Linked DNA regions of Mus musculus. The protein of the gene in region 3 purifies or fractionates together with the protein of the main gene of each other region. This does not show direct contact. Links are inferred from orthologs where the notes say so. Each region holds a gene or a part of one and is shown on either strand. Other genes may lie near its edges. The genes, in order: Snai1, Ezh2, Dnmt1, Hdac2, Parp1, Daxx and Hdac1.

Region 1 (4,689 bases), on a different chromosome or scaffold from region 3:
GGCAGTCGGCCTAGGAAGGGAGCTTCCTGGGCGTGGAGAGTCACCTGTCACCCGTTAGGGGCTAAGTCACACCTTTCCTAAGCGGCATGCCAGCCAGCATCCATCATTTGACCAAGTTTTACTTTCAGGCCTCTGGCAGGTGTGAGGTTGTGAACAGGCCTCCCCTTGTGGGCTTCATTTGCCTTTCTCTTTCCTTCTTACTAAGCAGGCTTGGGGGAGGCTGAGGGGGTGGAGTGGGGGGCTGCTGAAACAAAGGATGAAAGGGATGAAAGGAAGCCTAGCCAGGTGTGGATCTGGAAGAGAAAACAGGACTGGAGGAAGGCAGGTACCAAGCAAGGCCCCGTGGTAGGAAAGCCTGTTCTCTGATCATAGGGGATGGAGAAAAGTCAAAACCTAGTCAGCTGACTTGTCCGTTGGGACGAGGGTGGTGGTGGGGCGCTGTGTGCTCTCCCTCTGGACTCAGGGAGACTCATGGATGAACTAAATCTACCCAGAGGGCAGTGTTCTCCACGATGGTTGCCTGTTGTCTGACCATCCTCCCACTCCCCCACCCCCCACCCCCAGTGCTGGGAGTCTGATTCTATTCCCTGTTGTTACCTCCAGTGCCTAGAGACTCGATGCTAGCTGGTGCCCCAGAGGTTTCCGTAGACCCTCTGCTTTATAGGTGTTTATAACCCCATACTATGGGGGTGTGGGTTTGGTTTCCGAGGCCACCCTTCCTCCCTGTGAACGTTCCAACACGATTTTCAGGAAGTCGGGAGCCTTAGCCCTGGTCCTTGCTACCTCTGCCTCGCACCTGCCCTTATTGGTGTTTCACAATGCAACTCTAAACACGTCCGTCCTCAGCTGAAAGTCCTTCCGTGACTCCCCAGTGCCTGTAAGGCAAAGTCCAAACTCCTCCAAAGACCCGAGGCCAGGAAATCGGACCCCTCAGGGTCTGCCCAACACCAACCTCATCCTGGAACCTGCTCTCAAAGGTTGGACAGGCAGAAGTTACTGATTCTTACCCCGGGCCTTTCCCCTCGGTGCTTCTTCACTTCCTCTAGGAAGTCATAGACACCCTCCCCTGTCAGGTGACCGTTCATTGACAGTCACAGCTGTCTCTCCCCACCTCCTTTCATCAAATCACACCTCCCTTTAGTATTCGAATCCTCTGTTTATTCTGTCTGTCTCTCTCTCCCACGGCCGGGAAGCCATCCTTGCGTAGGGCATCCCTGGGTAGTGTTTTGTTCAGGGCTGTGTAGACAGTTCCAGGAACCCCTAAGCGCGTGCATATCATCGCACTTTCTGGCTCCCCAGCGCCCAAAGGTCAGCAGCTCGGGGATGTTGCGGGGCACCGCGCTCGTCGTGGGGCAGGCGCGGCCACCAGGGGTCGCCCGAGGAGCTCGGAAGCCGCGCGGTCCGGTCCGGGAGGAGCCCAAGCGGAATCTCAGCGCCACGCGGCGGGAGCCCCAGCAGCCCAGGCGCACCTGCTCCGGTCTCAGTCTCCGGCCGCGCCGCCGCCAGCCATTGGCTCAGCCTTGACAAAGGGGCGTGACCAACAGTACGGTCACGCCCCCAGCCCTGGTACTTAAAGGAATTTGCTGCTGCTAGGGGATCGTAGTGTGCGGCCGGGCCTCGCGAGCGGAGTTGACTACCGACCTTGCGCGACCCGGTGACCCCGACTACCTAGGTCGCTCTGGCCAACATGCCGCGCTCCTTCCTGGTCAGGAAGCCGTCCGACCCCCGCCGGAAGCCCAACTATAGCGAGCTGCAGGACGCGTGTGTGGGTGCGTGGTGGGGTGCGGGACGCGGGCGGCTGGGGGGGATCCCAAGGGTGCTGGGGGGAGGTGAGAATCGGGCTCTGCGGGCGCGACAGGTGGATCTGGAGCTCCGGGTCTTGGCAGTTGGGATCCACCGAGGGTGTCTTTGACCCGGGACGGGGAGGCTCCGGGAGTTGAAGACTCGAAGGCGGGGGTAGCTTTGCGGAGTCCGGGCGGGGGAGGGGAGGGGCGGGCGGGAAGCCCCCCCACCTGGCGCCCCGAGAATCCGCTCAGCTGACTCCCTGCTGTCTCTTCTCTTCCCGCAGAGTTCACCTTCCAGCAGCCCTACGACCAGGCCCACCTGCTGGCCGCCATCCCTCCGCCCGAGGTCCTCAACCCCGCCGCTTCGCTGCCCACCCTCATCTGGGACTCTCTCCTGGTACCCCAAGTGCGGCCGGTTGCCTGGGCCACCCTCCCGCTGCGGGAGAGCCCCAAGGCCGTAGAGCTGACCTCGCTGTCCGATGAGGACAGTGGCAAAAGCTCCCAGCCGCCCAGCCCGCCCTCGCCGGCGCCGTCGTCCTTCTCGTCCACCTCGGCCTCCTCCCTGGAGGCCGAGGCCTTCATCGCCTTCCCTGGCTTGGGCCAACTTCCCAAGCAGCTGGCCAGGCTCTCGGTGGCCAAGGACCCCCAGTCGCGGAAGATCTTCAACTGCAAATATTGTAACAAGGAGTACCTCAGCCTGGGCGCTCTGAAGATGCACATCCGAAGCCACACGCTGCCTTGTGTCTGCACGACCTGTGGAAAGGCCTTCTCTAGGCCCTGGCTGCTTCAGGGCCACGTCCGCACCCACACTGGTGAGTGAGTGTGCATAGCTGAGCTCTGAGTCTGGGCTGTTTGGCCTTAGACCCTGGGGGGACTCAACACTTACTCCTAAGGCTGCCAAGCAGTGGACAAAGTAGATGTTGGTTGTTCTCCATTCTGTACCTTGCTGTTCGAGGCTAGGAGTGAAGAGGTGTTCCCTATCCGGGCTCAACCCACACTGTAGAAGTCAGACAGGATATTGCTAGACAGGATATTCTGCACCTGGCCTTGAATCCTGAGTCGAGAACTTCCCCAGTTTCCTCGTTTCTAAAATGTATCAGAGAACACTTCGTGGGGTCTTTGTAGAGTGAAGTGCTAGGTGCAGGTGCCACTAAGAAATGACTTCCCAGTGACTATGAAGACGGCTCAGTGGTTAGAGCACTGGCTACTCTTCCAGAGGTCCTGAGTTCAATTCCCAGCACACATGGTAGTTCACAACTTAACTAACTGCCTGTTAAGAGTCCAGTTCCAGAGGACCTGACACCCTCATACAGACATACATGCAGGCAACATACCAATCCATGTAGGACAAGAATAGAATAGACACATCTTTTTTTTTTTTTTTTTTTTTTTTTTTTAAGAAGAGAAACAAAGACATGACTTTGCTGTCCTCTCAGCCTTGGGCCACGTGGGAAGCTTCTAGAAGTGAGGGAAGGCTTCAGCCAGGCTTGGTGGGGGTTCCGGTTGGGCTGCTCTTTGGAAAGTGTGTCAGGCTTTGGGGTAGAGCTGTGCGTCTCTTGTGGTGGCCAGCATTGGGGCAGTGAGGCCTGGGGGTGGCAGGGAGGTATTTGCAGGTCTCACTGACACCTTTATTACTTGAATAAGATTACCCGTTTCCCCCCCCCAGGCACGGATTGCCTCAGATTTAACCTATAAAAGTGTAACAGGCTGCCTCTCTCCGGCTGGGTTGCTAAGCTGTGGGGCTCTACTTTGGGGAAGAGCTGAAGCCCTCAGGGTCCTAGGCTGCCTCCGACCACCCCCCACCCCCCAGGGACTTTGTTTTGATGTAAAGGCATGGCTCAGACAAAACCCTCCTTGAAATGCACCACCCAGTTCTCTAGGAGTTCCATTGTGTGTCTTAATGGTAGCCCAGGGGGTGGGGGCCTGCAGGGTTAGAGCAGGTGCACGGGGCAGCGGTGCCCAGCACCTGTTCTTGGCCGCAGCTGCTGGCTCATTGCACGGCAGGCCCCTTTAATCCAGGGGGTATCACATGTACAGTGTCCCCCTTAGTGGCCTTTGTCCCAGCCGGCCTGGTGCCGATTTCACACTTGCCAGGAACACTATGAAGGCGTCTGGGGGTCGGGGATCTGTGAAGAGAGAGAGAGTGTGTGTGTGTGTGGGGGGGGGGGTGTCTACACTTCCTGTGCAAGCCCAGAGACTCCCAGCTCCATCCCACCCTGTGTTATCTTGAAACCTCCCTTTTGTTAAGTACTTCAGTTCGCCTGTCCCTGCTAAACGGACAGGTAGTGGTTAGGCCATTCTAGGGAGGGGGCAACACCCCTTACTTGTAGGGACCCACAGATTGCCAAGGTCCACCACCACCCAGGGCTTTGGAGCCCCACCTGTGTAGCTGAAGACTTGTGTGGGTTTGTGCCCCCTAGGGGGGCTGAAAGCGGCTCTGTTCAGTGAATACCTGCTGAGTGGGTGGATCCCGCAGGATCCCTGCTGAGATTTCCTCTATCCAGAGGCTCAGCACACCCAGGCGCCATTCCTCAGCCCCGAATTCCATCACTAGAATCCAACCAAAGGGCACCGCCTGTGGACTAGCAGGCTGGGAGGGACGGGAGGCTTGCCTTGTTTTGAAAATCCGTTTGGCATTACAGCCTCATGCTTGGCACATAGTAGGGGTGCAGCAGATGTTTGGTTTTGTCGGTATTTGTTAACTCAGCCAGACTGGGTTTAAACCAGAGACCCTCCTCCCTCTGTCTCTACAATGCTGGGTTACAAATATGGACCCCCAGGCTCAGGTCCCCTTTTTTAAAAAGCACATTTATTAATTCAGGTATTCACTGAACAGAGCCGCTTTCAGCCATCCTCGGGGGCACAAACCCACAGAAGTCTTCAGCTACACAGCATGTAATTAAGC
Region 2 (3,896 bases), on a different chromosome or scaffold from region 3:
CAGGGGGATAAGAATTACCATGGCAGCCAGAGGCGTGGTGGCTGGAGGAGCATGAAGCTAAGAATCCCATTGTAACTGAATCACTAAACAGAGTGGGGAGTTGGGGATGCTGACTTGAGTGAGCCATGGAATCTTCAAATGTTATCCAGTGACATACTTCCCCAAGCAAGGTTGTACTTGCTAAACCTTCTAAACGGTGCTACCAACTAGGAACCAACTGTTCAAATACATAAGCCTATAGAGGGTGTTTCTCATTCAGATCTCCAGAGTATCACTAGATTCTTATTGTATCAAATATTTTAATTGTTAGATCACCAAATAAAGTTTTTTACAAACTCTTTGTTGATGAGTATTTGTAGTTTATTTGGATAAGCCACATATCATCGGTTCTATTACAGGTACCTTCCATTTTAGTATCTGCAATCGGAATGTCTTACACTTGAGGTCTCATGTAACCTGCAGCAGTTTCCTTTCTTAGATTAAGTGTAGTTACAGTTTTCTCTACAGATCTGGATAAAGACAAGTACTCATGGAAAATACTGGTTTTAGTTATCTCATTAACTTTTTTTGTGTGGTACCAGGAATTAAACTCAGTGTTTAGAATGCTGGGCAAGTGTATCACATTTAAGTCTCACACCGAGGGCTTAAGTTTTAAGTTTTATGTGTATGTGTCCTATGTAACTCTACACACACACACACACACACACACACACACACACACACACACACACACACACACACACGTATGTATGTATGTGTTTGTGTTTATCATGACAAATTATAGGGGTCAGAGGACAGCATGTGGGGAGTTAGTTCTCTGCCTACCACATGGGTCCCAGGGATTGAGTTCTGGTTGTCAAGCATGGTCTTTACCTGCTGAGCCATCTCTCGGGCCTTCAAGTTTTAAATAAATGCTTAAAGTCTAGTTTAAAAATTAGAATACATCTGGTTTTAACTTTTCTTTCTTTCTTCCTTTCTTTTTCTCTTTTTCCTTCTTTCTCTCTCTCTCTCTCTCTCTCCCTCTCTCTCTCGCCCTCTCTCTCTCTCTCTCTCTCTCTCTCTCAGGTGGAAGACGAAACTGTTTTACATAACATTCCTTATATGGGGGATGAAGTTCTGGATCAGGATGGCACTTTCATTGAAGAACTAATAAAAAATTATGATGGAAAAGTGCATGGTGACAGAGGTGAGCTATGTGTATATTCTCTTTAGTTGAGGGTCTGAGGGTTTTCTTGTTGCCATGACAGTGGCAGCTCTTAAAAAGGAAAGCATTTGATTGGGGCTTGCTAACTGTTGAGATGTTTATTTAGTCCAGCCGGGCGGTGTTGGCGCACGCCTTTAATCCCAGCACTCAGGAGGCAGAGGCAGGCGGATTTCTGAATTCAAGGCCAGCCTGGTCTACAAAGTGAGTTCCAGGACAGCCAGGGCTATACAGAGAAACCCTGTCTTGAAAAAACAAAAACAAAACAAAACAAAAAAAACCAAAAAAACCCCCCCCAAAAAAGTTTAGTCCATTATCATCGTGGCAGTAAGCGTGGTGGCCCGCAGGCAAGTATGGTGCTGGAGAAGGAGCCTAGAGTTCTATATCTGGATGGCAGACAGCAGGAAGAGAGAGTTACACTTAATCAATAAAAATTTTCTGGGGTGTCGCTGTGCCCCCCTTTAATCCTTAATATCTATTGGAGGTTTCTGCCTCATTTTTGTTCATGTAATTCCCAAGTAATTGACACAGAAACAGTTCATATTTATTTACAGGCTGTAATCCTATATTTGGCAGATTCTGAGCTCTTCTATATACAAACGACAGGCCCCGTGTACTTTAGTTTGCATTTTACTCAACTTGCTCTGTACCATGTGTGTCCTCAGGACCAGCTTCTCTCTCATCTTTTCCTTCTTCCTCCGGGTCTCTCTAGAAATCTTTCTTGGTTATAAGTCCTACCTTTTCTATGCCCAGTCATAAACCCAGCCATTTATTGATCAATCAGTTATTATTGGGGAGTATTCTTTGCAGTACCTGTGTTACTGCAATGCCCCAAGATCAGGTTGTAGTCTGGACCAGGGCATAGAACTCAGGTTCTGAATCCACAGGTCACAAGGCTAACCCCAACAGCCACTGGGTCTGGCTTAAGCACCTAAGACCTCAAAGCCTGCCTCCACTGACACACTTCCTTTAGCAAGGCTACACCTACCCCAACGCTACCACACTTCCTAATCATGCCACTCCCTGTGGGCCCATAACATCATTTTCATTCAGACTGTCATAGAAGGGTTTCTTAATAGAGTTCATAAAAAATCTTAAGAGCTAGTCTGGGCTTAAAGGCATACATTTTTAGTATTTCTTTAGTTTTTCCATTTGAGGATCTTATTTGCCACTTGGTAATCATCAGTAACTGGTTATAAACTACAGCAGAAACAACACATAGATTTTATAGGAATAGAGTGTGTGTTTTTTGGTAAGCTTTCAATAGTAAAACTAAGTTTAAAGATCTGTTTATGGGGCATGTGCTTCAGAAAGGCTTTCTACTCAACAATGCCTTCCTCAGGGCAGCCAGAGCCCGTGAAATTAAGTTAACAGAATCCTGGATTCAGGTTTCTGAACAGGAGGCTCTCTTGATATCTGAGCAAACGGAGATGTGGTCATATCATAATGCAAAACAGGTTTGAAGTGGTCAGTCAGTGACACAGATTGGGAGGAAGCTAAAACTACAGGTCCTTATGGATTAAGGGAGTAATATACCCTGGATCAGCTGGAGAGGGTTGATTCCTGAGAAAGCAACAGATGTTGAAGGTAAATGCTGTTTTCTTTGCTGGCTGTGAAATTGATCTTGACTATCCTTACCTGCCCCTTAGGTTACAGTGCTGATAGGCCTTCACTATTCTTCCAGATTAGAAAACATATACATAATCTTGTCATTATCTTTTTCCCTCTGTTTCTGACATTTGGCTTTTAGAATGTGGATTTATAAATGATGAAATTTTTGTGGAGTTGGTAAATGCTCTTGGTCAATATAATGATGATGATGATGACGATGATGGAGATGATCCAGATGAAAGAGAAGAAAAACAGAAAGATCTAGAGGATAATCGAGATGGTATGTTTAATACTAGTTTTTTGTTTCAGCTTTATATAATTCTTTTAAAAAAAACCTATCAGGCTGGTAAGATGACTCGGTGGGTAAAGGTGCTTACCACCAAGCTTGATAAATCGAGTTTGATCCCTGGAGCCCACTCTATAGAAGAAAAGAACTGACTCTGCTGAGTTGCCCCTGATCTTCACATCAGTACACGGTGGCATACATACACCATCTAATTAATACATGTAAATAATGTAAAAGCCACCCATGTATGGGTATAATTAAACTACCCCCTTTTTGTTAAGTGTATGATCAAATATATTTTCTGCAGCATTTCATTCTCCACTAGAGCTTCTTTGTTTCCTTTGCCTAGGAAAAGGACATAATCCTTTTTTGCACTTTGCTGATCAATTATCATAATTATCTTTATAATAATATCATGTATCTTATATAAGTTGTATACTAATATACTTATATACCAGCTTATCCTTCCACAGCTTTACAATGTATATATTATTATCAGCTCCATTATATATTGGAAATGGGTTTAGGGAGGTTAAAGGCTAAGAAACTTAAGATAGCTATATTGGGAAAAAGTAGAATCTGAGCCCCAAGTTGATGACCTAGGTCTGACCTGAGAGCTGTGCTATTGTCTCTACACTTGTTAGTTGTTGCTAGAAAGCAGTCTACCCCAAATAGTAGAGAGTCCATAATGCTGTCTTGTATTTAGCAAGCTTACTGTTAAGACAGCATAGCAGAGTTTGGGGGGGGGGGTGGGAGGAATTGCATCAAAAGACATGTATTCTTTATAACAGAAACACA
Region 3 (4,331 bases):
AAAGTTAGGTTTGTTGGGAAAAGTTCTTTAACAATTTCACATTTGTGTACATGTGCGTGGGTATGTGATGTCAACTTACACACATGGTCAGAGGGAGACTACTTCTGGCTCAGTTCTCTCAGCTGTCTTTCTGGTCCTCGGTCATTCTTTTATTCATCTGGTGCTAGGGATGACTCCCAAGGCTTCTGCTGTGAGGTTAATATTCTGCTGTTGAACTGTATATTCTAAATCCTTCCATACCATGTGGAAGGTAAATAGAAAATATCATTTCTCTGCGATCTGCTTTTTTTTTTTTTATTAAACCCAGATGGCAGAAGTGGTTCCTGGCCTTACCACTATACTACTTCATTGGTATATTGGTCCAGTTCACTTCTGAATTATCTTTTTAAGGAGGTGATTTCAGCTCTGATAGATGAAGCCACTGAGGAAGAGTCCAGATGGTGTGCTCATGGTCGTTTTAGAGGACAAGGGGGTGAAGATGGGGTTAGACGGGAGGCCTTTTGTTTAAGGGTTCATGTATTTCTTACCAAAATGGTAACAAAAGATGAGCAGAAGGGGAGGGGGATAGAGTTATGCCTATAGTTTCTCCTTCTGAAGATGTAAGTTCCAGAAATATGGATCATGGACATATAGTTAGACACTACAGAACCACACATTTCATCTTCCAGTGAAGATGGTAGTTACAGTGGGGCATACCCATAAATCCATCACTCAAGACCAGAGAGAGGCAGGAGGTCTGAACTTTAAGATCAACCATATTATCTATTGTATAGATAGTAAAGTCAAGCCTATCTTGGGTTAAAAAATTGTTGGTGCATTTAAGAGCAGTGTCCACAGCGGCCTTCCCCTGGAAGTGGAGTTACAGGGCTTCGAGTGGCTGGATGTGGGTGGGTGCTCTCCAGGGAGGAAGCTAGCCACTGCGCAGACAAGCCCACTTTTGTTTGTTTTGTTTTGAGACTGGCTTTCTCTGTGTGGCTCTGGCTGTCCTAGAACTCCACTGTATAGACTTGGCTGACCTCAAACTGAGATCTGCCTGCCTCTGCCTCCTTAGTGTAAGGGACTGCAGGCATGCGCCACCACCGCCTACCTTTTTCCTTTTTCAAGAAGATTTTGTTTTTAGACCAGGCTCAATACACAGAGATCCTCTGGCTTTTGCATTCTGAGTGCTGGAATCAAATGCATGCATGCCACAGCCTCTGCCAGACTCAAAAGATTTTTTTTTTTTTAAAGTTGTGTTTGTGCATGTGAGTGCAATGCCCATAGAGGCCAGAAGAGGCTGTAGGACCCCCTGGAAGTGGAATTACAGGGGCTTGGAGCGGCTGGATGCGGGTGCTGGCAAGCAAACCAGAGTCATCCTCTGCAAGAGCAGCACTACCTGCTCTCAAGTGCCGAGCCACCTCTTCAGGCAAGGGGGAGGTGGGTGGCGCCAGTCGCAGCACGGACGAGCCCACTATAGCCAGGAGGTGTGGGTGCCTCCGTTGCGCGCATGCGCACTCCCTTCGGGCATAGCATGGTCTTCCCCCACTCTCTTGCCCTGTGTGGTACATGCTGCTTCCGCTTGCGCCGCCCCCTCCCAATTGGTTTCCGCGCGCGCGAAAAAGCCGGGGTCTCGTTCAGAGCTGTTCTGTCGTCTGCAACCTGCAAGATGCCAGCGCGAACAGCTCCAGCCCGAGTGCCTGCGCTTGCCTCCCCGGCAGGCTCGCTCCCGGACCATGTCCGCAGGCGGTAGGTGCCACGCAGGGTGGGGGTGAGGGGCGGGACCGATGCCGAGGCATATATTGGGGGTATCTCCGGGTGGCCCTGCGGCCGCTGACAGCCAGGGCGCGCATGCGCGGGGCAGCGTTTGGCGCGGGCTGTGCTTCCTGTCGCGCGTGCCCTTAGCTGTTGGCGCCAAAATGGGTGGGGGCCGGGGTGCTGGCAAGCCCATTGACTGGGAGCTTGAGGGAGCAAGGGGATCAGCCCTCTGAAATAGAACAAGCTTGGGGACACCCTCAGGGGTTCCCCTCTTTGGTCAGCCAGGCTCCTGGGTGTGCAGGAAGTGCCCCTCTCCCGGCCTGTGGACACCCTGAAGCCCCCACTCCGCTCCAGCCTCCACTTCCGGTGCCCTGCAGATCCCGCCGCGCCCACCCGAGGGTCCCTCCGCCGGTTCCCCTGGCCCTGGTTCAGAAGGGCCCTCCTTCCCAGCCCCGCTGTCAAGTCCTAGGACCTTTTCTCTCTCATCCTGCCGGGCCGGGCCTGGGCAGCTTGAAGCCCTCGTGGGATTTTGTTTTGTTTTCATCCTAACGTAAAGGAGCTCCTGCGATCCTGGAGCTATCAAAGAGACTCTGCCTGGAAAGAGCTGGTGCTGCAGAATGGGCCCTCCACTTTGGCAGTGACATAACTCTGTCCCGAGATCCCAGAGCAATCGAGGAAACCTTTAACTCCATTCAAAGTGTTTATCAGGGGGAAGGAAAGATGAATGGTAGTGAGATGTCTCGGCCCCCGCCCTATTATTTTAGCCCCTGTAAACCAGTTCTTTCGGTCCTGGCGCCATCGAGGAAGCTTTTTACATTGTCCAGTGTTTATTTCGAGGAGTGAGGGATGGCAGGTAAAGTCCCCCATTTCAGTGCATATGAATCCCCCCTCTCCCCCCCCCCTCCCCAAGCAATCAAGGAAGACCTGGGTAATGGGCCCTCCACTAGTACCTTCCACGCCTCCATGAGGACGGCTGTGTGCAAGGATTGGCGGGAACACTGGATCCCGCTTCCTGTTCCAGAAGGGCATCGTCAATCCGTTCATTCCTGAAAGCTTGTCCCGCGCGTCATTGAGCATTAGTCATAGGTGCCCTGCTAGTGCTGGACACATCCCAACCCGATTCTGAGTCTGCTTTTGCTATCCCGGGGGTTAGTTTACTGGGGTGATGCCAGGCCGATTCCCATTTGAGCTTTGGGGGATAAAGTGGGAGAAGCGGCTGAATTCCCCTTGTCAAACACCCCTGCCCCCAGCTCGCCCCCAGGGTTGGACCTGAAGCTCTGTACTGAGCTACACCTTCAGCCCTTTCACTTGTATTGGAGACTGGCCTGGGATTCTCTCTCTCTCTCTCTGCCTGTGTCTTCTCAGTGCTGGGATTACTGACATGTGCCATCATGATGGTTTGGGTTCGTTTTTTGAATGCTTGTTTTTTGATTGTATAGGCATAAAAATCTGAAGCCTTTGTGAGACACCTCAACAGATTTCTTTTTACTACCAAAAAATACATACATAATTAAAGTATTTGGTTTTTTAAAGTTAGACAGTCTGTAACCTGCCTTTCTGTCTTTTGTCTTTCCTGTTCTCGGGTTGGTTGGTTTACCTGTGTATGCTTTGTTTTCATTTCCAGGAAGGGATTCCTGTAGGCCAAGCTAGCCTCCGGCTGGCCGTCTAACCCAGGCTAGCCTTGGTCTTTTGTATCTACCCAAGTGCTGGGATTACAGGAATGTGACACTGTGCCTAGCTTAGCTTTTCTTGATTTAGAAAAACTTACTAGCAAAATATCTACAGTATGAGATTTGAGAGGTACCTGCATTTGGGAGGATAGTCCAGGAGCTGAGTAGGCCTCGAGGTAGCTTCCGTCCATGCTGCTATTCTGTATTTAAATGGCAGTTTGTTTAAATAGAAGTGTGCATAGTTCCTCTGGATATATAAAATATAGTATCTTCAACATTTGGATTGTAAGTCTTTAAGTGTGTATGTGGGTCTATGCTACAGCTTGTGTGGCAGTCAGGACCCCTTGCAGGAACTGGCCTTTCCACAAGATTCTGGGTATGGGAACTCAGACCATCAAGCTTGGTAGCATTCCTCTTATCTCACCAGCCCCAGACTGACAGTTTCTCTGAAATATAGTAAACCTTGTGTCATTCAAAAATCAAATCATGCTTTTTAGTGAGATGTTGTGGCCATGGCCTGTAACATCAGGAGGCAGGAGCAGGAGGGTCACAAGTTAGAATTCAACTAAGGTCTCATTTCAGACATTCACACCTTGCAAGGTGAGGGATTTCTTTTCCTGAGCAGGGGGTGTCCTTTCCATAGCTGAGATTCCTTGGTTGGCATGGGTTTTTCATTTCTTTCAGTTTTTTTAAATTAAAACTTGTTTTCCAGGCACGGTTTCTGTGTAGTTCATCTGGTCTTGATCTTGCCACGCTCGTGCCTCTGGAGTGATGCGTGTTACATGCTTGGCTTGCTTTTAACTTATTTTTTGTTAAACCTGTGTATAAGTGGTGTGTGTGATATACATATATACACATATATATGTACATATACACGAAGGTATGTGTTAGGGGACAGCTTTTTAATTTTCTGTGCATATGCACCAC
Region 4 (4,241 bases), on a different chromosome or scaffold from region 3:
AGACATGGCTGTGTCCAGAAAGTAGGCACTTGATATATCTATCTATCTATCTGTCTTACCTATGCAATGATTGTAGAACCTGTGGCTATTATCAAATTTATAAAATCTTTTGTGTATCAGTTCGAGCATCAGACAAACGGATAGCTTGCGATGAAGAGTTTTCAGATTCTGAGGATGAAGGTGAAGGAGGTCGTAGGAATGTTGCTGATCATAAGAAAGGAGCAAAGAAGGCTAGGATTGAAGAAGACAAGAAGGAGACAGAGGACAAGAAGACAGGTCGGTTTATGTTTTGGTGACCATTTCACTTTCCCTACTTAAGGGTTGCACTGTGTCTCTTAGCGATCCTGCAGTCACACGTCTCACTTTAGGCAGGTAACTTTTCCTGGTGTAAGAGATAGTTAGTTACCGCTCATGCTTACTGTTTAGTGCTTCAGAGCTGACTTAAAGGTTTTACAGTTGTGCTCAAATTTTCTTTGTGGTATAGAAACCTTCCTTTTAATAACATAGTAGTAAACGTTACATGTCATGGGATGGGGTTAAGGGGATGACAGTAGTTACAGATGTTGGGCCTCAGAACATTTACTGTAGCTTAGGTGGACTTAGACTCAGTGCTCTTCTGCCTTGTCCTCTTATATACTGGGATTGAAGGCATGCCAGTACACCTGGCTAAAATTCTAAATAATTTATACTGGTTAAAGCTGACTTCATGTAGCAAAAGTTAAGCTACATAGTCCTTTGAAAAGTTACTTTAAGAGTGAAGACTCTTTAGGAACTGAAGAAACTAAAACTGAGGAAAGATAGGAAGGGGCAGTTTCTGGTGTCTTCCGGTATTTCATTCAGAGTGTTTATTTAGCATGCCATTACAGCACCTCGTTAGCACTCTCAGGTTTCTCATTGCTATGCTGAACTGTGCAGGGGTAAGGAGTGGGCAGTAGCCTCTTTAAACATGATAATGCTGCAAGTTTTAGTTGACCTACTAGTCAAGTGAGGCTGCCTGGCTTTACTAGGCCTCACTATATAGACATGGCTGCTCCGGCTACTTACTGGGTGGCCTTGGATTCACACCATTGTCCTTTCTCAGATGCCTGGGTGCTGGGATTACAGAAATGTGCCACCACCTCCAACTCAGTTTCTTTCTATTTTAAAATATCTTCTGCATTTTCTTTTTTTTTTCCAAATAGGAAAGTGATAAAGTAAATTGACTCTTGGTATTTTAGACAAAATACCACAATAATCTATGGGTCATAACCTCAAATAAGACCCACCACCACCCCCTCTTGGCACTGAGTAAAAATTTAGCCAGAATTATCCAAGACACTAAAATGTGAAATCTCCATTGTCGGCATGTAGATTTGTATGGGAGGTGACAGCAGTGCCCTGCAGTGTCTGCATTGCCCAAGCGTGCTGCTGTCCCTGCACCTCTCCATGAGGCCATTGCTTCATAACTAATTTACACAGAGAAAATACTCTGGCTAATCTGGGACATTTACTTTAATTACTGTATTTAAGTTATGAAGTTCAGTTTAGTAGTAATTAAAAATTTAAGGTTAGAACAATGGGATATTGTGGGCCAGCAAGGTAAAGGTGCTTGCTGCCAAGCCTGATTACATATGATCTGCATGTTGGAGGAAGACTCCTGACTTCTACAAGCTGTCTTTTGACCTCCCTATGGAAGTCATGGTGTGGATGCCCAAACATACACACACACTCTGAATAAATAAATGTTAAAAACAAAAAACATAATCTAGCCTCTTGCCTTTAGGATCACGTCCTTCTTACAGTGCAGACACAGTTCTCTTGAGCTCCTTCTGTCTTACCACTGCTTCCGTGCCTCAGTCCTTTTACAGTTTTCCCTGGAAGATACCCTTTCCTCTTACCTGAGAGTTTGTTCATTCTTTGGGACCCACATTCTAGAGAACTGTGTCTGCACTGTAAGAAGGAAGTGATCCTAAAGGCAAGAAGCTAAATTATTTTTTTGTTTTTAACATTTATTATATATACACTATATACATACATATATATATTGTGTGTCTTATATTTCAAAATAGACATCAATATTTTTCTTCTGTCTTTAGATGTTAAGGAAGAAGACAAATCCAAGGACAATAGTGGTGAGAAAACAGACCCCAAAGGGTGAGCGATGCTTGTGTCTGTAGACGTCATGCATGTCTTGGGGGTTGGGCGGGGGCATGCATACTTGAGAAATACTGGCACAGCCTGAGAACATACAATGAGTGCAGGTCTGCGTGTGGGTAACGTGCTTAGGCTATTTGACCGGTAACTTTTATGTATGCAATCGTGTTTTTCATGATGCTCATATTACTGTGCTTAGAATACTTTGATGTTAGGAGACAGGCTAGTTTAAGGAAAAAACATTGGGCTAAGTGAAAGCCTATTGGAGAATTTTGTTATCAGAATGCATGTATGGCTAGGTAGGTGAAGTGTTGCGGTAAATCTCCAACCCAAATATGCCCTGGCAATGAAACACAACTCAATTAATATGAATACATGCTGTGTGCCTAGAATGGGCAGATCTACCGCTACACTACCATCGTCAACAACTGTGAGAGCCCTTAGAACTTGCAGTTTCTCCAGGCCACGTGCTTCTGCTCCACTTTTCTTCTTCCCCCTCCTCTGCATCCTCACCCTCCCCTATTTTCTCCTCTCTCTCCCCACCTTCTTCTCCACCTTCCCTTTATCTGCCCAATCATCAGCTCTCCTTTATTTTACAAATTAGGTGGGAAGCAGGTTTATGGGAAGTAAACCTGAGTGCTGACTCATTGCTTGTTTGTAGGCCCTCACTGGAGAAGGAAGTAGCATCAAATATAATAAGTAAGCCCCAGGGCTATCCACACCTGTGAAGAGGCTTGAGTCTATAATCTCAGTCCACTGGAGAGGCTGAGCCCAGAGGATTGCCATGAATTTAAATCCACACTAAGCTACATAGTGATTTTTAAATCGTCACTCTGGGCTGAAGAATGAGAGTCTGTGTTAGAAGCAAGCACGTGTGCTTGGTCACCCAGTTGTTTGCTAATTTTGAAGGATAACTTAGAATGCTCAGTTGTAAAACAACTGGAAAGATTAAGGCTTTTATTGCTCAGAAAAAAAAGAAAAAACAACAACAACAACAACAGTGAATAGCTTGGTGTGAATCTATAAGACTGTGCAAGTAGCCAGGTCAGTGCTCCTAAACCAAGACTATTACTTTTAATATTTCATGATCCTCTTTCAACAGAGCCAAGTCAGAACAACTCAGCAACCCTTGAATTTGACTCTCCAACTTTAGGAACCTCGAAAAGTGAGACGATTCTGGGATAAGAAACCTTCCCTGTTTGAGGACATTGGCTTCATTTTATACTGTTTTGGCATGGACTGTATTTATTTTCAAAATGGCTTGTTTTTGTTTTTCTTGGCAAGTTTTATTGTGAGTTTTTCTAATTATGAAGCAAATTTTTTTTTCCACCATGCTTTATGTGATTGTATTTAAATTGATGTGTTATTATGTCAAAAGCCGGATCTATTAAAGAAACAATTGGCCTTTCTGAGCTGATTTTTCCATCTTTTGTAATTATCTTTATTAAAAAATTGTACTTGGATCGTTTTCTGTCTGTTTATTATGAAAGCTTGTTTCCAAGTCAATGACTTGATGGTCTTAAGACTGGAACATACCAAAAGGAATGTCAGTGTCAGAGACCATCACTAGATCTACACAGTGCTTACTGGCTCTAACAGCTATTTCTTACTTCAGGAAAAATAACAGTGTCACTTTGTGTCAGGAAGACTGGTATTTCATAAATTATTTCCAAATTCATAATCTGTGCACTTGGGATGAAGCAATTATTTTTGAACTGAATCAAATACTCAGAAATTGGAAATTGTGAATTGAAAAAAGAAACCTGTCCAACCAATAACTGGCCCAACTTAAGACCCATCCCATGAGCCAGCACCAGTCCCTGACACTTAATGATACTCTGTTATACTTGCAGACCGGAGCCTAGTGTGGCTGTCCTCTGAGAGGCTCCACCCAGCAGCTGACTAGGACAGATGCAGATACCCACAGCCAAACAGTGGATGGAGCTTGGGGACTTTTATGGAATAGGAGGAAGGATTTCAGGCCTCCAAGGAGATAGGAACTCTACAGGAAGACCAACTGAGTCAACTAGCCTGGACCTTTGTGGCTCTCAGAGACTGAACCACTAACCAAAGAGCATACACGGGCTGGACCTAGGTCTACCCACATA
Region 5 (3,896 bases), on a different chromosome or scaffold from region 3:
AAATTGTGGTGCTTAAACAAAGAACACCCTTCCGTTCGGCCGCAGAGCAGGACCAAGGGCATCGCGCTGAATGAAGCAGCAGAGAAGAAAGCGCATAGATTTCCTTTTCTCCCTGAAACAAAACCCAGGCAACTCTAACCCACGAAGTTAGAAGTCAGAACAGAAGCCAGGGGTTGAAGGCGCACACCTGCAATTTCAGCACTCAGGAGGAATGCTGGCTCTGCAGTCTGTATTTATTTGTTTGGGGATGTGGTCTCCCTATATATCACTGGCTGTCCTTGAACTCACAGAGATCTGCCTGCCGAAGGTCTGTTTTTTGTTTGTTTTTAAGAAGGAAGGAAGGAGCTGGGCATGGTGGTGCACGCCTTTAATCCCAGCACTTTGGAGGCAGAGGCAGGCGGATTTCTGAGTTCGAGGCCAGCCTGGTCTACAAAGTGAGTTCCAGGACAGCCAGGGCTACACAGAGAAACCTTGTCTCGAAAAACCAAAAAACCAAACAAGAAGGAGGAAGGAATTGGCAGAGGTTTCCTCCTGGGTACCATCCGTGTACAGGACCTGGAAGTCATCAGTGGTAGGTACATCACCTACCCATCCACCCCCCCACCCACCCACCCACCCACCCATCCGTCTGTCTGTCCGTCCGTCCATCCATCCATCCATCCGTCCGTCCACCCACCCACCCATCCATCCATCCATCCACCCACCCATCCATCCATCCATCCATCCAAGCCCACAGAACACACACCATCAGCAAAGGACATCAATGTGAAAGAAAATGAGATTTTGTAACTTGTGATTCATGTGAAAGAGTTGTCTATGAGCCCTCGGTCTGAGGCCGAGAACAAAGCAGGACAAACAGGGCTATCTTGTCTGGGTCAACACCACCTGGCCGGAACCTCCCCTCTGTCTACTGCCCCTCGACGCCAAGTCATACATCAACTGGTTGCTATGTGAACAAGATAAGCCCCCAGCCCACAGGAACAAAGTTCTGATGCCCTTTTGCTGACATGTAATCTTTCTGTTAATGTTAGAATAAGCCAATAGTGTGTCGCTATGCTGAATTCCACACCCCTAAGCCCCTCACCCCATAAAAACCCCTAGCTTTACATCCGTTATCTCCTGTGTGGGATACATGTCGGTCCGGAGCTCTGTAATTAAACGTCCTCATGTATTTACATCAAGATGGTCGTCCGTTCGTGATTCTTGGGTGCATACCGAATCGGGAATTGAGTGGGGGTTTCCCCACTAGGTTCTATCAGACGCACTGGTGGGGGTGGGGTGGCTATGGGAGCGCTTTGCTCTCGTGTTTCTCTCAGTTTTCCTAAAGCACGTGCTATGCAAACCTGGCGATCTGAGTTCAATTCCTGGAGCCCGTGGGAGAGAGCCAACCCAGTAAAGCTGTCTTTAACCTCCACATGCATATTGTACCACACACGTGTGCATGCACTAACATACACACACATACACCCACAACTAATAAAATAAAAAATTAAAACCTATTAAAAAAAAAAATCCATGCAAGCTTAAAGTCTTCCTTTCCATCATCTGGAAGATAAGACACCAAACCTCACACAAGAGTCAACACGGCCCGAGGAGGAGCCACAGAAGCAACTCAGCAGATAGAGAGAGAGCGCTTGAACCCCTGGCCACACACCTGCCACGCCTCCAGCCTCGGCCGTCTTCTTGACCTTCTGCTGATCATCCCAGCGCAGCTCAGAGAAGCCATCCACCTCAACATCAGGCTGCCGGATGGAGTGGCCCACCTTCCAGAAGCAGGAGAAGTGGTACCAGTGTGGGACTTTCCCATCGAACATGGGTGACTAAGGAACATAAAGCAGAGGTGAGGGGTCGTTAGTCTCCATGCAGGCCACAATCCTGCCCCCAGCCCAGGCAGCAACAGAGGCTGCCTGATGCTCTCTCAGGTCACATGGTGACTGGCAAATGGATGAGAAACAGCTTCTGGCTTCTCATCCTGGGTATTTTCCTAAAAGCTAAAACTTATGGCTGGCCACCCCCAAATCCATCTCAGGATGACAGGGTAACCCCGGTTCCTTGTGTGTGCCACATTCTGACTTTACTGCACAGCCTGGTGTGACACACAGAATTCCTAAAGTGTCCCGTAGACCTGTTAGAAGAGCCAGGAAGCAGCACTTGAACTCAAGGGTCTGGATGGCCCAGAAATGGCTCTTAAGTACCTCTGTGGTTAAAAATAATAAGGAACGGGACCTAGATAATGAACCAGGCAGAGAAAATGTGTCAGCAGAGTGTCAGACACAGCAAGGCATACATGCACAGGTGCATAGAAGGAACGGCTTCTGCAAGGGGAACAAGGAGCCTGAGGCAGAGGCTTCCAGGCCTGGAGATAGGCTGAATACTGGCCTCAGGGAGGCACCTGATCCCCCAATGTGCCTGAGGTAAAGGCACTGGGCCACTTTTTTCGCCTATGAGGCTCTACACCCAGGGTTGCCTGTTTTAGAGATGGTGACAGCCTGAGATGAGGGAGACAACGACATTAACCCAGTTTCCTCTGGGAACACCGCAGCAACAGCAGCAGCAGCTCACAGATGGTGGCAACAATGGAGACACAGTGAGGCGAATGGGACAAGAATCTGATACTGAGTTCTCCCCCACCCCAACTTCAGAAGAGCTACTTGACACGAACTGCCTTCTGACCCACTGAGGTGAGTGCTCATTAGGGCTGCTTCAAAGGGCAGAGAGGGAAAACACATAAGCAGTATTGAAGAGATCCCCTGAAGCTTCAGGTTAGAGTCAGCCTCCTTTTAGTTACATTACAGTGCAAGGCAGAGTTGGCTAAGGAGACAGTTCAGTGGCTAAGTTGTTCCACTACAGGACCTGGGTTCTATTCCTAGCACCCAGAAGGTCGTTCACAACCATCTGTAACCCCAGTTTCAGAGGATCTGACATCTTCTGACCTCTCTTGGCACCAGGTAGGAGATGCACAGACAAACATGCAGGCAAGACACTCATTCAAAAACTTTAAAAAGCAAGGCAAGATCTGCCTAGGTGACCCAATAGGAATTATGTGCTCGGGCAGGCTCCTGAAAGGAAGACGCCCTGCTAGCCTCCTCAGGTGCCTCAAGGCCCCGCCCACTGCTGCCCTCAGGGCAGTTTTACTGAGACAGAATCTGTCCCCAGTCAGGCAGAGGAGGAAGGTGGGGGACCGGCAGCAAAGATGGCCCCTAGACCAGATAATAAATGGTGTTTTTGAGCGGACTCAGCTTCTGGCTCGAGACACTCCATCGGATCAGCAGCTTCAGATCCCCGACCCCTGTGGCAAATGGCTTATGCCGCCTGCCTCAGCCTATAGCTATGGCTCTACAAGAACAAACACCTACCACCCCCAGACTGGGTGCCCTAAACTGGGGACACCAAGAAGTACTCCCTAATGGTGCACTTGATACAAAACCAGCTCAGCTGGTAAGAGCACTGACTGCTCTTCCAAAGGTCCTGAGTTCAAATCCCAGCAACCACATGGTGGCTCACAACCATGTAATGAGATCTGACGTAATGAGATCTATAATGAGATCTGACGCCCTCTTCTGGAGTGTCTGAAGACAGCTACTGTGTACTTAAGTATAATGATAAATAAATCTTCGGGCCTGAGAGAGCAGGGTTGGCCAGCGCGAGCAGAGGTCCTAAATTCAATTCCCAACAACTAGATGAAGGCTCACAACTATCTGTACAGCTACGCTGTGTAGTCATATACATAAATAAATACATAAAAACAGAGAAGTCATACTCCATAAGAAAAACAAAGCCCTGACCATGCCAAGGCCTGGGGAGGACTGGTGGGAATGGCCGACATCCTAAGTTGTTTGTCTCTATCTAGGAGGCGTGAAATAGGCCAGGTACAGAATCCAGGACTTAGACCCAGC
Region 6 (4,042 bases), on a different chromosome or scaffold from region 3:
CCCCTCCCGCCGCCATCTTGTGCCGACTCCCTCCGCCTTCCGCCTCCACTCCGCCTCCCGGACCTGCGACCTTAAAGGCGCAGGCCAGCACCCCTCCTGTGCCGCTGGGCAAAAGTCGACCGACAGCGACACTTTTCCTTTAAAGAACCGGCGCTTCATTCCGCCTTAAAGGTACCAGGTCCCGTCTGCGGCTGAGGACTCAGGAATTGGTTTGGCCGAAACCTTCGTTCCCCTTTAATCCGACAAGCCTACCTTGTCTCATTGACCAGTGCTGGCTTCCGCTTCCCAGGCTCCACCCCGAGCTCTGGACGTTAGCTTGCTCGCGGGATCTAACAGCCCTTTTCCCAGCATATGAGAACCCCCCAAGCCCCGCCCCCCTCCTCCAGGCCTGGATTGGCCAAATCACCTTGAGTCAGCCCCTGATTGGCCTTTTCACTCAGACCGCTCAAAACGAGAGAGGAAAGCTGCTTAAGAAGGCTTCCGAAGCACTTATCTTTAAAAGTGCCTAGGGGAAGAAGGCTCAAGGAAGGGTTAAGGATGAGGACGCCCTAAAAAGAGAGCCAGGATAGAAAAGGCAGATCCAGGTGACAGCTGTCACAAGAGAAAAGGCAAAGTAAAGGAAAGAATACAATAAAAAGAAATTCATTGTTTATTAATGTGTCTGTGTAAAACTTAAAACATTTTGATTTTTTTTTTTTGTCAAAAGAAACACCATCAAAACGGGAGGAGCTCTGTCCATCTTTTACTCCATCATCTTCCAACAGCCATACAAAAAACCTTCTGGATGCAGGGAGCACGGGGAGCATGGGGCCTGCTAATCAGAGTCTGAAAGCACGATGATCTCCTCCGGGTCGCACTGTGTGGCCACACTGGTCTGCAGACAAGTCAGAGGAGAAAGAAGGGTGAGCCAGGCATGGCGGCTCACGCCTTTAGTCCGAACACTCAAGAGGCAGAGGCGGGCTGATATCCGAGTTTGGGGCCAGCCTGATCTACTACATACAGAGTTCTGGGACAGTCAGGGCTACATAGAAAGACCTTGTCTCAGAAACAAAACAAAGCAGGATGGAAGGCTGGAAGATGGCTCAGCCACTAAGCACGCAGCTGCTTTGCAGAAGACCCGAGTGTTGTATCCAGTCTCACATGGCGGCTCTCTGCCTTCTCCGTGACTCCAGATCTATAGGATCAGACGCCCTCTTCTGGCCTCCATGAGCACCAGACACAAATGTAGCACATAGGTATGCATGCCAACAAAACACCTATTTACATAAAATAAGTCTTTTTTGTTTTGTTTTACATGGTCTCACTATGTAACCTTGACTGTCACTGGGTAGACTAGACTGTGGCCTTGAAGTTAGAGAGACCTGTATGCCTCTGCCTCCTGGTTGATGGGGTTAAACCTAAACACACACACACACACACACACACACACACACACACACACAGCCAGTCTTTGAGACTTTGTGTGTTCTTTTTCCTCCCCTTTATCCGCCCCCATCACTAGATAGAAAAGAAAGGATAGACAGGAGAGACAGGATCTCTGATTCTAATGTCTCTCTTCCTGTTTGTTCTTTGAGCAAGACTACTAACAAACCACAACCAACCCCTGTACTACCACCAACCATGCTTCCTGGAAGGTGGGGAGGCTCTGCCATTTATATGCTCTCCTGAAAAGTTCCCAGAATTCCAAACATCACTTCACACAACCAAAGCAACTATCTGTAGCTGGTAAAGCCACACCTCTAGAGCTCACAGTCACAGTCAGTTGGAAGCAGCCCCACACTCCACACCGGGATTAAAATGAAAACCTATTTCACTGGTTTTTTGTTTGTCAGTTAGTTGGTTTTTGGGTTTTAGACAGTTTCTCTGTGTGGCCCTGGCTGTCCTGGGACACACTTTGTAAACCAGGCTGGCCTCAGACTCAAGAGAGATGCTCCTGCCTCTGCCTCCCAGGATCAAAGGCATGTGTCGCTACCACTCAGCTCTGAGTTGTTATAAAGACGCCAAAATTCCAAAACTGTCACTACACAAGCATGCATGCACGTGCACGCACTTGCGGGCGGGCAGGAAGATGGGGAAAACAGAGGAGCAGGAGGTGCAATACCCACAGAAAGGGAAAGGGTGAGAATGCAGTGCCAGGGGACACTGCCCACTCACCTTATAAATACACTGCCGGAGAGACTGAGCCTGGGGTGTCTGGAGAAGCAGGGATGGAGAAGGGCTGCACAGAGAGCTGGTCACCAGTTCATGGCTGGGAGAGTCCACCCTTGTGGAGGAATCAGCGACAGAAGCCACAGAGGCCAAGGGGGGGGATGGCATAGGCTGGACACTTGTGTTCTGCCCACTGTCCTGCTGTGCCATCGGTTCTTTTATATAGCTAAGGACAGAAGAAAAATGACAGAAAGGGCCTGAGGCTGCAGGGAGACCTAGGACATCAGGCTCCCTTCAGAGAGTCCTGCCTCCTTGCCTGCCTTCCTCCTCACCCACTATTACCTGTTTCCTAACAGTCCAGAGCCCAGTTGCTTCTTTTCCTTCCGAAATCTCTTGCTGGGGGGACTGGCATCTCTCCAAGTGTGAGAAGAGACACGCCCATTGACAGATGTAGAGGTAACCACAGCTGCCCCATTTTCCAAGATGGTGGGGAGGGAATCTTCCGACTTTTTCCTGGAGGAGGAAATGTCCCTTTCCTCAGGCAAAGCTTCCATCTCTAGCTCAGCGAGCTGGGACACAGGACTCTCGTCTCCCAGGAGCGGCTCGAGGAGCTGCTCTCCACTGCTCTCAGCGTCAGTGCTGGGAGGGTCCAGGGATGCCCCTGGCGGGGATGCTGGGGTCTCTGTCAGTCCTCTCTTTTGCTGCCCCTCGGGGGTCCTGAGCCCTTCTGCAGGCTCTGAATTCCTTCTATGGAAAAAGTCTGAAGGCGATGTGGGACTCTCATTTCCTTCATTATCTGGAAAAGAAAGGGGAGGGGTGGATGAGGAACAGGGATAGAGGGGCTGTGCAAAGGACATAGGAGAGGGCTGGAGAGATGGCTCAGTGGGTAAGAGCACCGGACTGCTCTTCCAAAGGTCCAGTGTTCAAGTCCCAGCAACCACATGGTGGCTCACAACCATCCGTAACGAGATCTGACGCCCTCTTCTGGTGTGTCTGAAGACAGCTACAGTATACTTACATATAATAATCAATAAATCTTTAAAAAAAAAAAAAAGGGCATAGGAGGAGGAAGAGGAGGAGGAGGAAGGAAGGAAGGAAGGAAGGAAGGAAGGAAGGAAGGGAGGGAGGGAGGGAGGGAGGGAGGGAGGGAGGGAGGGAGGGAGGAAGGGAGGGAAAGGCTCAACAAGGAGCTCATGTCCGACAGAGCAGAACTAACACCACAAGGATGCTCCCCACAGAGGAGCTCCGTTTACGCATATACCTCCTCCTTCCTCTTCTTCATCACCCCCCTGATCTTCCTGCAACTGTTCTAGATCCTCATCTTCATCTTCAGTAGCCTCTTTCTCCTCCTCTTCCTCCTCCTCCTCCTCCTCACTTTCCTCGTTATCTTCGTCGTCGTCATCATCATCGTCATCATCGTCATCATCAGTCTCAGCTTTGGAGGTAGTAGGGCACTCCTGGGATGCCATTCCGCTAGGACCCTGAGGGAAAGAGCAGTCTCTCTTAAGGAATCCCGTGCCCCACAGCTTTTTGATTGGTAGGAGGAGGACTCAACTCTGGGAGCTCATGACTGCGAGACTGCAAGGCAAGCACATCACCAATATTCTTTCCCCACTTCCATACGCTGCTCCAGGAGTCACCCTGGAGTGCCTAGTGGCAGTGCAGGGCGCAGACAAGATCTGAGTTAACCCTTCCATACCTCACCAGATTCCGAGGAGGCTTTGGGGGGGTCTGAAGGTTGGGGGGCGGTGCCTAAGAGCCGGGCTCGTCTCTTCTGTCTCTCGCCCTCCTCAGTCTTGTCTTGCATCATTGCATACTTGGAGATGACCTCATCCAGCCGGTTCATGGCCAAGGTTCGATTTTCCCGAAGGCGGCGAGCCAATGTGGGATCAGA
Region 7 (3,896 bases), on a different chromosome or scaffold from region 3:
CTGCCTCCCAAGTGCTGGGATTAAAGACTTGCACCGCCACCACCACCTGGCTACATTGTTTTATTTTATTTTTTTAATTTTTAAATATTTCTTTTATTTATGAGTAAAGTACAGTTACTGTCTTCAGACACACCAGAAGAGAGCATCGGATCCCATTACAGATGGTTGTGAGCCACCATGTGGTTGCTGGGATTTGAACTCAGGACCTTCAGAAGAACAGTCAGTGCTCGTAACAGCTGAGCAGTCTCTCCAGTCCTGTATTTTATTTTTTAAGACATTTTTAAGGTGTCTCTATGTAGTCTTGGCTAGCCTGAGACTTGACATGTAGACCACATTGACCTTGAATTCAGAGACTCCTCTACCTCTGCCTCTCAAGTACTAGGAGCAAAGCCATGTATGTACAACCACACCCAGCTAACAAGTATCTGCCACTGCAGAGCAGCCAGAATACTTAGTGTTCATGAAGTCCTGGGTTCAAATCTCCAGTGCTGTAAGAACTAGACATGGGGCTGGAGAGATGGTTCAGCAGTTAAGAGCACTGACTGCTCTCCTGAGTTCAAATCCCAGCAACCACATGATGGCTCACAAGCATCTGTAATGAGATCTGACGCCCTCTTCTGGAGTGTCTGAAGACAACTACAGTGTAACTACATATAATTAATAAATAAATAAATAAATAAATAAATAAATAAATAAATAAATAAATCAATCTTGGTAATCCAGGCCTTGGAAGGAGGCAGGAGGTCTGAAACTCAAGGCCATCACTCCCCACAGACTGAGCTGGAAGCCAACCTGTGACCATGTGTTTGGGAGGCTGGGGGCAACCAGACTACCTACGTTTGGGGCCAGTTGGGACTACAAATTCAACAAAACCCTGCCTCAACAAACCAAACGGAAAAAAGCTCTCAATCTGTACCGCACTGCCTGCAGAAGAGGCAAACTGAGAATCAAGCCAAATTTAGTCTACACATATATTGGTATTCTTTACACATATGCTAAAAAATAAAAACAGATTTGGGAATTATAGCCAAAAATTAAAACAAAGACAAAACATGGAGCCAACATTTTAAACTTAGGTGGTATTATATAATCCAAAGTTCCAGTTTTTCTTTTAAAATTGGAAGCTCAGACAAAATTAGTTAGAGCTGTATGTGGGAACAAGACACGAGCTTACACTGAGGCTGGAAGCATAGCACTGGAAGACAACGACAGCGCTGTATAAAAAGGTGTGCCTGCGGGCAACCATGGAGCTCAGCTCTTCAGAGGGGAGCCGAGAGGGTCACAAGTGCAAAGGTCACCTTCAGCTATGGCTTCGATGAAGACAATGAGGTACAAGAGCCCCCAAGTCAGAGACAGTCCATACTCTGACTGTGTACTGTGTGCTGGCCTCAACTCAGGGATCTGACTGCCTCTGCCTCCTGAGGGCTGGGACTCAAAGCACCACTACCCAGCATGTTGTTGGGTTTTATTCTAGGCTAAGATTAGCTCGCACTCATTTAAGACTGTAGCCCAGGCCAGCCTTGAATCTCCAGCCATCCACGCCGCAGTACCCACACTGGGCTTCCATGTTGGCTTACAGCGCACTTCCCGAAGACTTTTGCTTTCTCCAAACACCACGTCATCCTCAGTTCGGTCTGTGCCTCTGTCCAACCCTTGACTTGGATACCAGTCCCTTTGTGAATGCTGCACTAAGTTCTAGGCGTTTTCATTCTTTGGAGACAGGGTCTCCTATACCAGGGCTGGCTGTGAATTGCCCAGAGTGGCCTTGAAACCCCAATCCTACCTCTCCCACCAAAGTGCTAGAACCTCAGCCTCATCCTTGACTTTCTAGTCAGTCTGAAGGAACTCCACGGCTCCGTTCTTCACTCCTCACCTCTCTATCATTAGCATTCTTTAATTGTTACACAGACACGGTAAACTTGGTTAGCTTACACGTACTGACACTGAAGTGCTTAAAAATAAAAAAATAGAACCTTCATCTACTCGCCAAATAATAGCCACTGAATGAATGAGCAGCTGAGAAAGGAAACTAAAGAATGCAGGCAGGGAGCCAGGTGTGGTGGCGCACGCCTTTAATCCCAGCACTTGAGAGGCAGAGGCAGGTGGATTTCTGAGTTTGAGGCCAGCCTGGTCTACAAAGTGAGTTCCAGGACAGCCAGGGCTACACAGAGAAACCCTGTCTCGAAAAACCAAACCCTCCCCCCCATCCCCCAAAAAGGAATGCAGGCAGGGAACCCAAGCTGACAAGGCAGGCAGGGGCAGCACTCAGGAACTCACGTAGATCTCCATTTTTCGGTAGAGACCATAGTTGAGCAGCAAATTGTGAGTCATGCGGATTCGGTGAGGCTTCATGGGGTGCCCTTGTCCATAATAGTAGTTTCCAACATCCCCTGAAAGAGAAGACAGTTTGCTTTATTATTTATTTTGGTTTTTCTGTGCACCCATGTGCAGACAGGGTTTCTCTGTGCACCCCTGGCTGTCCTGGAACTCACTCTGTAGACCACACTGTCTTCAAACTCAGAGATCTACCTAACTCTGCCAAGTACTGGGATTAAAGACACCACAGATACCCCCAGGTTCTCCGGTTTGTAAGATTTTATTTTTGGACTGAAGAGATGGCTCAGTGGGTAAGAGCACTGACTGCTCTTCCAGAGGTCTAAAGTTCAATTCCCAGCACCCACATGGTGGCTCCAGTTCCAGGGAGTCTGACCCCCTCAAACACCAATGCACACACAATAAAAATAAATAAATTGGGGCTGGTGAGATGGCTCAGTGGGTAAGAGCACCCGACTGCTCTTCCGAAGGTCAGGAGTTCAAATCCCAGCAACCACATGGTGGCTCACAACCATCCATAACAAGATCTGACTCCCTCTTCTGGAGTGTCTGAGGACAGCTACAGTGTACTTACATATAATAAATAAATAAATATTTAAAAAAAATATTTAAAAAAAAATAAATAAATTAATTAATTAATTAAACAAAAAAAGATTTCCTTTTCAATTACACATAAATGTGTGTGGACATGTACATGCTGGTGCAGGTGTCTCCTGGGAGCTGCCTAATGTGGATGCTGGGAATTGAACCCTGGTCCTCTTGAAGAACACTCAGTGCTCTTAACTACTGAGCCACCTCTCCAGCTCTTAGAGAAGCAGCTTTACTAACACAGTTAAACACTCTCCTGGGAGAACCCAGCAAACTCCCAGAACTCTAACGCTCATTTCTAGTTTCCATGAGTATTCCTCACCTTAAATAAAAGGAAGAGCCCGTGGTTCCTACATAAGCCAGTGTTTAAGGGTGAATCTAGAACACCTATATATGGGATAAAATTGACTGGGAATGAATAGGCAGTGTGGTGACTCAACTCACCGCACCTTTATGGAATTCCTTTTCCACGACAAAATCACTCACTACTACCTGGGACTATAACCACAGCCTACAGATAAAACCAAACTTCCTTGTTGCTTGTTTCAGCTACAGAAATTGCTTCTAACTGGTTCCTGGCCTTCGATTCAAGCTCTCTGCCTGCCACATCATGACCAGCTATTTCTCCTAAAGTGCAGCTCAGAACATCTCCTACTGGCTCCTCTTGCCTCCGGGCTCTGACTTCAATAGGCTGAAGTCAACATTTGTTCAATCTACCTTGTGCTGGCTCGATTTAGGTCAATTTGACACAAACTATGGTCACTGGAGAGGAGAAACCTCAACTTCGAAAATGGCCATGGGCCAGCCTGTAGAATATTTTAATTAGTAATTAATGACAGAGGGTCCAGTCCATTGTGGGTGGGGTCATGCCTGAGGTGGCAGCCCTGAGTTCTGTAAGAAAGCCGACTGAGCAAACCACGAGAAACAAGCCAGCAAGCAGCACCCCTCCATGGCCTCTGCATCAGCTCCTGCTT

What was found.
Region 1: the proteins of Dnmt1 (region 3) and Snai1 purify together in Homo sapiens (affinity purification with mass spectrometry; 3 studies listed by BioGRID, with this or other methods). This does not show direct contact. The link is inferred for Mus musculus from reciprocal best matches to the Homo sapiens genes DNMT1 and SNAI1.
Region 2: the proteins of Dnmt1 (region 3) and Ezh2 purify together in Homo sapiens (affinity purification with western blotting; 6 studies listed by BioGRID and IntAct, with this or other methods). This does not show direct contact. The link is inferred for Mus musculus from reciprocal best matches to the Homo sapiens genes DNMT1 and EZH2.
Region 4: the proteins of Dnmt1 (region 3) and Hdac2 purify together in Homo sapiens (affinity purification with western blotting; 3 studies listed by BioGRID). This does not show direct contact. The link is inferred for Mus musculus from reciprocal best matches to the Homo sapiens genes DNMT1 and HDAC2.
Region 5: the proteins of Dnmt1 (region 3) and Parp1 purify together in Homo sapiens (affinity purification with western blotting; 4 studies listed by BioGRID and IntAct, with this or other methods). This does not show direct contact. The link is inferred for Mus musculus from reciprocal best matches to the Homo sapiens genes DNMT1 and PARP1.
Region 6: the proteins of Dnmt1 (region 3) and Daxx purify together in Homo sapiens (affinity purification with western blotting; 4 studies listed by BioGRID, with this or other methods). This does not show direct contact. The link is inferred for Mus musculus from reciprocal best matches to the Homo sapiens genes DNMT1 and DAXX.
Region 7: the proteins of Dnmt1 (region 3) and Hdac1 purify together in Homo sapiens (affinity purification with western blotting; 11 studies listed by BioGRID and IntAct, with this or other methods). This does not show direct contact. The link is inferred for Mus musculus from reciprocal best matches to the Homo sapiens genes DNMT1 and HDAC1.

What each region holds. Positions count from the first base shown.
Region 1 is NC_000068.7:167,536,603-167,541,291, forward strand, and holds the start of Snai1 (zinc finger protein SNAI1), read left to right. Parts: upstream 1-1,592; 5' UTR 1,593-1,687; coding exon 1,688-1,769; intron 1,770-2,068; coding exon 2,069-2,596; intron 2,597-4,689. UniProt on the Homo sapiens protein: Involved in induction of the epithelial to mesenchymal transition (EMT), formation and maintenance of embryonic mesoderm, growth arrest, survival and cell migration.
Region 2 is NC_000072.6:47,553,320-47,557,215, reverse strand, and holds part of Ezh2 (histone-lysine N-methyltransferase EZH2), read left to right. Parts: intron 1-1,065; coding exon 1,066-1,186; intron 1,187-2,951; coding exon 2,952-3,092; intron 3,093-3,896. UniProt on the Homo sapiens protein: Polycomb group (PcG) protein. Catalytic subunit of the PRC2/EED-EZH2 complex, which methylates 'Lys-9' (H3K9me) and 'Lys-27' (H3K27me) of histone H3, leading to transcriptional repression of the affected target gene.
Region 3 is NC_000075.6:20,950,102-20,954,432, reverse strand, and holds the start of Dnmt1 (DNA (cytosine-5)-methyltransferase 1), read left to right. Parts: upstream 1-1,453; 5' UTR 1,454-1,486; coding exon of another isoform or gene 1,487-1,645; coding exon 1,646-1,725; intron 1,726-1,809; exon of another isoform or gene 1,810-2,587; intron 2,588-4,331. UniProt on the Homo sapiens protein: Methylates CpG residues. Preferentially methylates hemimethylated DNA. Associates with DNA replication sites in S phase maintaining the methylation pattern in the newly synthesized strand, that is essential for epigenetic inheritance.
Region 4 is NC_000076.6:36,998,294-37,002,534, forward strand, and holds the end of Hdac2 (histone deacetylase 2), read left to right. Parts: intron 1-120; coding exon 121-276; intron 277-2,075; coding exon 2,076-2,133; intron 2,134-3,235; coding exon 3,236-3,266; 3' UTR 3,267-3,595; downstream 3,596-4,241. UniProt on the Homo sapiens protein: Histone deacetylase that catalyzes the deacetylation of lysine residues on the N-terminal part of the core histones (H2A, H2B, H3 and H4).
Region 5 is NC_000067.6:180,571,576-180,575,471, reverse strand, and holds part of Parp1 (poly [ADP-ribose] polymerase 1), read right to left. Parts: intron 1,821-3,896; coding exon 1,655-1,820; intron 1-1,654. UniProt on the Homo sapiens protein: Poly-ADP-ribosyltransferase that mediates poly-ADP-ribosylation of proteins and plays a key role in DNA repair.
Region 6 is NC_000083.6:33,912,175-33,916,216, reverse strand, and holds the end of Daxx (death domain-associated protein 6), read right to left. Parts: coding exon 3,848-4,042; intron 3,630-3,847; coding exon 3,410-3,629; intron 2,945-3,409; coding exon 2,491-2,944; intron 2,412-2,490; exon of another isoform or gene 2,375-2,411; coding exon 2,155-2,374; intron 875-2,154; coding exon 815-874; 3' UTR 627-814; downstream 1-626. UniProt on the Homo sapiens protein: Transcription corepressor known to repress transcriptional potential of several sumoylated transcription factors. Down-regulates basal and activated transcription.
Region 7 is NC_000070.6:129,532,337-129,536,232, forward strand, and holds part of Hdac1 (histone deacetylase 1), read right to left. Parts: intron 2,391-3,896; coding exon 2,278-2,390; intron 1-2,277. UniProt on the Homo sapiens protein: Histone deacetylase that catalyzes the deacetylation of lysine residues on the N-terminal part of the core histones (H2A, H2B, H3 and H4).